Linked DNA regions of Rhinolophus ferrumequinum. Each later gene encodes a partner of the first gene's protein in a complex. Links are inferred from orthologs where the notes say so. Each region holds a gene or a part of one and is shown on either strand. Other genes may lie near its edges. The genes, in order: KCNJ4 and TAX1BP3.

Region 1 (3,899 bases):
CCCCCCTCAGCTCTCGCCCCCGCCTCCCCCAGATCCACATTAAGAAGGAGCCCGCCCTGTAAGCCTACACTGTTCCTCCTCCCCTTCCCTCTTAGCCTAAGCTAAGAAATCTTTTCACAGCACCTAGAGTCACTTATTCTCTGCTCCACAAAAGTCTGTTAAGAACCTACTATGCTCCAGGCTTGGGCAAGCTGCTTTCAGGGACCTGGCATAGTCTGCAAATCCCTGAGCAATTCAAGGAAGTCAGTACCATCATCCCATTCTCCAGTCGAAGAAACTGAGGCTCAGAAAGGTCAAGCCAGCTACCCAAGGTCACTTAGCAGAAACACAAGGCCAGCTCTGTCTGTTCCCAGTCACCCCGAGGCTTTTTCTAGATGAGGAACTTCCTTTTCAAGGGTAACCCAAGCATTCCTAACAACTAGCTCCCAAGCCCCAGATCCCCCTTCTAATTCCTGGACACTCCTCTCCTTGGTCAGCCCTCTATTTCAAGCCATATTCTCACCTCCCATTTTACCTTTGCATCATCCCAAAGGTAAAATGAGTCCATACTCCCATCTGCCCAGCACTTTCCCCAGCCTGTGAACAGCCCTCACTCAGCTCCCTTGAGCCTGGGTGGTGGGGGCGGGGGGCACTCGGAGGTCAGTGGGGCGAGGAAGGGTGTCCTTCCCATAGATATGGAAACTGAGTGTCAGGGAGCGAGTGACTCGCCCTGGGTGCTGGATCCTCAGATAGCTAAGCTGATTTCTGGGAGCCCAAATGGAGTATATATGAGGACCACTGCCCAGGGCGGAAAACCCCAGAAAGAGCCCCTCCTCCCCATGGAGAACAGAGTGGAATGTTCTAGGCTCAGCCCTCCAGGCTCCAGTTTGGATGTGGGTCAGCTCAAAGGCCAGTGGCCACGTTGCACTCCAGCCCTTATCCCACTGCTTCCTTCCGCCTTTTGCTCTCCTCATCCTAGGCCAAGCCAGGGTCACAGTGCGGCTCTCGGGCCCCCAACATCGTGGCAACAGCCCCCCAAAATCCCAAAGCTCAGGAGGTCGTGCAACTGGATGTGGGGAGAAGCAGAATAGACATCTTACACACGCACACGCGCGCACACACACGCATGCACACACACGCACGGACACAGGGTCTGGTTCCTCTCTCGGCCTCACCTGTGTGGCCGTTGGCCTCTCTCCCTCAGCTTCCTGTCCCCACAATCCTACTGCTCCTGAGGCCTCAGCTGCCAACTTGGCCAGGCTGCCCAACCTCCAGTCCCTCCACCACACTCCTGTCTGCCATGTCCCTGCACCCTCTCCCCACCCTGAGCCTGGGCACTGGGGCAGAAGTGTGTGCTGATGCTGGTGGGGGGACACTCAGCACGTTGTTGGGGAAGTTTCCCTCCTCCAGGGTTCATCCAGACCTCTCTTTCACTGGGGTTCTCCCCCTCCCCACAGCCTGTGTCTACCACTCTGAGATGACATGCCTTATTTACTGGATCCCTTGTCCCCTTACCCCGGGGTCACCTGGCCCAAAGTAGCTGCTCAAGACGTGAGAAGTGGGAATTTTTAAAACAATTAGTTTCAGGTAGGCAGTGGGATTGTTCTCAGGTGGCAGGGCCATTTGCAAACGGGCTGCAGCTGGGGAGGTGGAAAGGAGAGCCCCTCCCCCTTTTGCCAAGAGTCACCTGCCTTGAAGCTCCTCGGAAACCCAGTGTGACAACCGGGGGTGGGTGGAGATAGGGAAAGGTCGTGGCCGGGGCAGGAGGTCAAGGCCAGTTCCACCCTCCTCTCCCTCCTTCCTGGCATCAACCTAGACCTCGTTTCTCCGGACTGACAGACGGACAGAGCTCGCCAGCTTCTGAGAAGTCGCAGGAACCCGGGTCAGGGATAAGGCGCTGAGCGGGCGGGGCCAAAGCAGCCGGTCCAGGACACACAGACACGCACGCGGCGGGACAGACCGACAGACAGCGCCAGCGGTGGGCGAGGGCCGAGCTTACCGCGGGGCAAAGGTCCGACGAGTGTCCTGGAGGCGGCGAGACGGCACTACATCCCACGGCGCGGTCAGGCGGGCGGCGTCCCCGCGGGAGAGGGGAGTCCGGGCGCTCGCTCCTCGCCAGCCCCCCGGACCGGCCGCGCCCCCCTCCCCGGCTGCCGGTGGGTCTGTCCGTGGGTCTCCGGGTCTCCGCGCCTCCGCGCCGTCCCGCGCCGCTACCCAGCGGCCGTCCAACTTTCAGCACTGCCCGGCGCCGCGCCCTCGGCGCCGCCTGAGCGTCAGCATCGTCGGGCCCCGGGCCCGGGCTCAGAGCGCGGGGCTCCGGCGGCCCATGGCGCTCGCCGCCCGCGCTCGCGCCCCTCGCCTCCGCCGCAGGCGCCTTTCCTCCGCCGCCCCCCCACTGTTCTCTCGCTGTCACTCGGCGCTGTCCCCCGCCCTGAGCTGCGCGCCCTGCCCGGCTGCGCTCGCCTCCGGCCCCGAGCCGCCCCGCGCGGGCTCTGCGGCCACCTTCCCCGCCCCGCTTGCCCTCGGGTCTCTGCCCCTCTCCGGTCTCTGTCTCTCGACTGGTCTCTCCTGCCTCCCTCGCTCTCGCTGTCTCCCCCGCTATGGTCTCTGTCTTCGCCTCGGTCTCCCTCCCAGTCTCTCCTCTGCCTCCCTCAGCCTCTGCCCTATCTCTTCCCTGCGCGTCTCCGTCTCCCGCCCGGTCTGTCCTCTGTCCCTCTCGCCTTTGCCCTCTCGGTGCGGCCCCCACTGTCTGGGACCCAGGCCCCAGCCGCTGCCGCGTCCCCGGCTCGCCCGGGAGCCCGAGCTCCCGACGCCCGCGGCGCGCCGAGAACTCCCAACTCGCCGCACGCCGCCCCGCTTTGCGAGACTTTCGCCCCTCCTCACACGTGACCCGCGGCGCCCCGCTGCGGAGCCCCCCCACCCCGGGAGCCCCCGGCTGCCTGCGGGGCCCGGCCCCGCCCCTTCCCCTCTGCCTAGCCGGACAGCAAACCCATTCCCACCCGCTCGCCTCGCGGGGCAGGGCCAGGGCCTGGGGGCTGCATGGGCCCGCTCCTGCCACAGATCCTGCCAGGGTTTTCCCTCCTACCTCCAGAAGCGCTCCTCCCAGAACCCATTCCAAAAAGCCGCCGCCGGGTTTTCAAGCCCCCCCTTCCCCCCCCCCCCCCCGGGGCAGGTGGAAAGGGTTCCTCGTGCTAGGAAGGCGGTGGGTGGGAGAGGGTCCGTACTGGGTTCTCTGGCGCTGGGCCACTCCCGTGAGCGGTCCCCTTTCCCTCCTGAAGTACCTGCAGTTTAGGACCCTACGCATCCCCGCGGAGGTGGCTCTGCTAGAGGGACCCTCACAATCACTTAGGCAGCACCGCCCCATTTTACAGACCGGGAGCCGGAGAACCAAAGGGTCACAAACTTGCCCAAGGTCACTCAGAGGTGGCATCCGGACCAAACCCCCGTCTCTTGTTCTGTGCGTTCCCATTACTCCAAAGTGTCTTTATTAGGGAGGATGGTGCCCTTCATCTGCAGCCCTAACTGTGCCCCAGGTCTGGGCCCCGCACTCTGGATTGTGGGGAGAAATCTCCAGCACCCCACAGCCTCTGGCGAGCCAGTCACTTCCGTGGCCATTCTGCCACCTCACTCCAACCTTCTGAGGAAACAGGTGGGAAAGTGCTCCTGCTCCAGGGTGGTCGGATGAGAGAACACCTTCAGATAGAGAGCCAGAACTTCCTGGGGAGGCTGAAGATCTCTGAATAACCCCAGTTAAGACAGGGAGAGACTGAGGCACCCCGAAGTCGGATTGAGAACTTCCTGAATATTAAGTTTCCTCCAGCTCCTTCAAGTTTATCCCCCAAAGATGTGACTGGCACAGGTACTACGACACACAAACCACATGACTGCTTCCCTTCCCCCGAGACCCTCCCCACTTGAAA
Region 2 (3,899 bases), on another chromosome or scaffold:
ACAAGCCCAGGAGACTGGCCCCCAGGGAGGGGGCTTCTCCCTAAGCCCCAGGTCCTGCTCGTGTGCAGTGTAGGAGGCAGAAGAGTCCCAGGGTTCTCCCACCATGCTCTGGGACTCTGGTCCCCAACTGTGCCAGGTTCCTTTCAAAACCCTCAGCAGGCATGTTCCAGTCACCAGATACTGGGAACCAGACCAGATCACCCACCCCAAAAGTTGAGCGTTTTAACGAGAAGAAAAAAAGCAAAAAGTGACTTGATCTGGACCTGAGGGGCTTCGCAAAGAAGGGATCATTCACACCAGGCCTTGAGGAGGTGACCAGGTTTTTGGACACCGGACCTTGACTCTGGACCCACTGGAGCTCTCAGGAGTTGGGGAGCAGGGCTGGTCATGGTCAGGCTTGATGTCAGAATGACCACTCAGGCAGTCAGTAGGGGAGAAGACCTCTCTCAGAGATGGGATGCAGAGATGAGGACATGAGCTATTTGAAAAGTGAAATCAACAGACTTGGGGACTGCTCATGGCAGAGGAGTCAATGGCCGCATTTGGCCACCTGGCCTGGCTGAACACAACCATCTCTCCAATGGAGACCCTGGAGGAGAAGGCCATGTTGAGTTTGAGTGCCAGGAGCCATCCAGGCAGGTATCCAGAAGGCAGACGGGCCCATGGAGCCAGAGTTCAGAGAGGCCAAAATAGTAAAACATTCTCAAGGTGTTAACTACATGGGAGAGGGCGGGGGCCAGGGAATAAGGCTTCCCCACCTCCTCCCCAGTCCAAGACACGAGGGAGAGGCCAGACCCACCGCCCATGTTCAGGCATGTGTTGGGAGGTCATGGTCCTACAGCTTAGAGGAAGGCCCAGGGACCAGCCATAACACAAGCGGGGGGGGGGGGGGGGGGGCAGGACGCATGGCCCGAGGCCCACTGGACCTAGGTCTTCAAGCCCAAACATTGAGCTCCTCCAGGCCTGCTCCACCTCTTCCAACACATACCCACCTTTAAGGTCAGAAAGAGTTTGGGCCCTTGGGCTGGGAGACACTCACCTGTCACTGACTTGTTGGGTGAGGTCAGGCAGGTTACTGCCCCCTGTCTGGCTCCTCACCTGTACCCCTTTTTATCCAGCTAAGGAGCAAACCTGGCCCCTTCTCTCTGGGGCAGTTAGGGCTGTGGAAATGTGAGGCTGGTGCAGCCAGGGGGACACTTAGGACCTGTCAGCAAGTCCAGCAATGTTTCCGCCTAGCCCAGGCCTGACCTAGGATGCTAAGCTCACCCTCACATGCCAGCCTTATCACTGGCGTCACACCCCACCAGCTGACTGCTTGAGCTCCCAGCACACCCATCCGAGATAACGCGGCCAGTCCCATGACTCCTCCGCTGGGACTTCCACCTGATCCACTGCCTGCCCAGCAGGCATTTCTTAGAGATCTGGGTTCTTCCTGAGGGCTTCTTTACATGGCTGGCCAAGACCAGATCTCTCTGGGATTCACTTTCCCCACCTCCAACAGCGGACCTGGCCTCCAGGCCCCATTCAGCTGTGGCACTGGCGTCTGGGTCTCCTGTCCCAGCTTCCTCTTGTCCCTTTGATTCTTCTAATAGCACCTGACACCCAAGACAAGCCAAGGGCGGGGCGGGGAGGGCAGGGGTCCCAAAGGGTCACCTCAGGCCCCAAATGCCAGGCAGGGGACCTGGACTTTATCCCAAGGGCTAGGGATACAGGGAAAGTTCCGAGCAAGACTGAGCCACCTTTGTGAGCCTTCTTCACTCTGGACCGGGCGAGGAGTGAGTCCGAGGAAGAAAGGCTGGACGGGGGAGGGGTAAGGGGCTGCGACTCTGGCGACGGCCACCTCCTCAAATCTCCCTCCTCAAATCTCCCCCAGGGCGGCGGCACGGACTGGAGTAGAGGAAGCACTTCCTCATTCCAGAGGCCACAACTCACGGATGTCCTGGCCGGCGCCCGCCCCCCGCGGCTGCCCAGCTGGGATCACAGGCCCAGGAAAGCCCTGGGCGTTTTCCCAGACTCCTACAACCGCGCCTTTCTCCTCGGTGTTCCCCGCCCCGACTGGCTGAAAAGAGTCCAACGCGGCAGTGCACGGAGTCTGGCCTCGGTCCAGGGTCTCAGGAGGCTCTTGGTCCCAGCCTTCTGTTGCATGGCTGGGGAGACCGCGGTAGTACCGCGGACTGGAGCCCTGCCCGCGGGGTCTGCAGAAGACCCCGGTTCGACGCTTTGTCAACCTGTTTGGGGTGTCAGTTTACCGCTCTGCAAAGTGGGAGCAAGCCAAGACGAGGAGGAGCCCGCGCGAGCGTACTCACCACCACGGCAGTGACCGGCTGGCCCGGGATGTAGGACATCGCGACCCCAATCTGGCAACCAAATACCGCTCAGCGAAGCCCTCCGCGAAAATCCCGGCGGCCGCGCCCTCTGGTTAACAAAGGCCGCCCGGTTCGACCCGCCCCCTCATGAATAGTTAACAAATCCCCAGCCAATCAACCGCTGGAGCGCTGTTCGGCTTTCGGAAGTCCCTGTGCGTGCGTAGTAAAGCGGGCAGAGGGGTGGAGCGTGCTTGAGGCTCCAGCGGCGCATGCGCTAGAGGGCGGAAGCGAGGTCTTGGCGCATGCACAGCCTGGGCCCTCCCAGCAGCCTCCAGAGCAAGATGGCGCCGCGGGAATCTCCATCCCTGTCTGTCTGAGGGAACGCCAAGTGACTGTGTCCATCGCTGTGTTCCAGGTAACCGGGCGAGCCTGGGCGGGGAATGCAGGCGTGCTGCCGCTCCCACCCACCCTGGGCTTGCGCGGGCCCTCAGCCTTCTTCTCAGCGTCTTTTGAAGGTTCGAGACCCAGGAGTGGTGCGAGGATTTGGAAGCCCCAGGGGGAGGGGCGGCGTGAACCTAACTCTCCAAGCTCCAGGCACTACTTGTAACTTAGGTTTCTCCGCAGCTCCGCGAGAAAGCAGAAGCTGAGCCCCGGCGGGTGCGATGGCCGCTGTGGTGGCCAAGCGGGAAGGGCCGCCGTTCATCAGCGAGGCAGCTGTGCGGGGCAACGCCGCGGTCCTGGATTACTGCCGGACCTCAGTGTCAGCGCTGTCGGGGGCCACGGCCGGAATCCTCGGCCTCACCGGCCTCTACGGCTTCATCTTCTACCTGCTTGCCTCCATCCTGCTCTCCCTGCTCTTAATTCTCAAAGCGGGAAGGAGGTGGAACAAATATTTTAAATCACGAAGACCTCTCTTTACAGGAGGTCTCGTCGGAGGCCTCTTCACCTACGTCCTGTTCTGGACATTCCTCTACGGCATGGTGCACGTCTACTGAAATGGGGGCAGGGATGACTTTTTAAAAAAAACAGATTGGGAAGACTGTTGCCAGAAATTAACGACGTGTAGACTTACTTAGTTTTTAAATTGTTGAATTCGCTGCTTGTTCTGTAACGTTATCAGTAACTTATATCTGAAGACGAAGAGCCTGTAATATTCTTCAGATTAAATGAAGCGTGAGACACTTTACGGAGTTTTTTCCTACCTTAACGCATACCCCCTGTCTATCGTGGGTGCAAAGTCGCCAAGTTTTGACTCCTGGAGAGCTGGGACTGAGCCTTGTAATTTCCTTGCATTTGCACTAGGGCGTAAATACGGAGAGACTTATTAACATCCTAAGAACTAATAACAGCTCATATTTATTAAGTGTGCCCTATAAGCCAGGCATTGTGCCTTGTACCTTTTACACCCATTAACTCACTGAATTCTAGCAATATCCTTACGGAATGGAATCAATGTGATTATTGTCCCCTATTGGTGAACCTAAGGCTGCAGAGGAGGCACAGCGCGGAAAAGGCAGAGCCAGGATTCAAATTCAGGTCTCTTAATTGCTCTGGCTATATTGGCTGAGTGTACCTTTTCAGAGTCCAGCCTTC

The links.
Region 2: the proteins of KCNJ4 (region 1) and TAX1BP3 are in contact, whole or in part, in a crystal structure (PDB 3GJ9), measured with the Homo sapiens proteins. The link is inferred for Rhinolophus ferrumequinum from reciprocal best matches to the Homo sapiens genes KCNJ4 and TAX1BP3. Residues at the interface, in NP_004972.1 of Homo sapiens: Arg440, Arg441, Glu442, Ser443, Ala444, Ile445; in NP_055419.1 of Homo sapiens: Leu27, Ile28, Leu29, Gly30, Phe31, Ser32, Ile33, Gly34, Gly35, Asp38, Gln39, Gln43, Asn44, Thr58, Arg59, His90, Asp91, Arg94, Leu97, Thr98.

The regions. Positions count from the first base shown.
Region 1 is NC_046293.1:8,669,027-8,672,925, reverse strand, and holds the start of KCNJ4 (inward rectifier potassium channel 4), read right to left. Parts: upstream 2,216-3,899; 5' UTR 1,979-2,215; intron 1-1,978. UniProt on the Homo sapiens protein: Inward rectifier potassium channels are characterized by a greater tendency to allow potassium to flow into the cell rather than out of it.
Region 2 is NC_046304.1:14,817,999-14,821,897, reverse strand, and holds the start of TAX1BP3 (tax1-binding protein 3), read right to left. Parts: upstream 2,483-3,899; 5' UTR 2,346-2,482; coding exon 2,307-2,345; intron 1-2,306. Other genes in the region: EMC6 (ER membrane protein complex subunit 6), read left to right, coding at 2,969-3,301. UniProt on the Homo sapiens protein: May regulate a number of protein-protein interactions by competing for PDZ domain binding sites. Binds CTNNB1 and may thereby act as an inhibitor of the Wnt signaling pathway. Competes with LIN7A for KCNJ4 binding, and thereby promotes KCNJ4 internalization.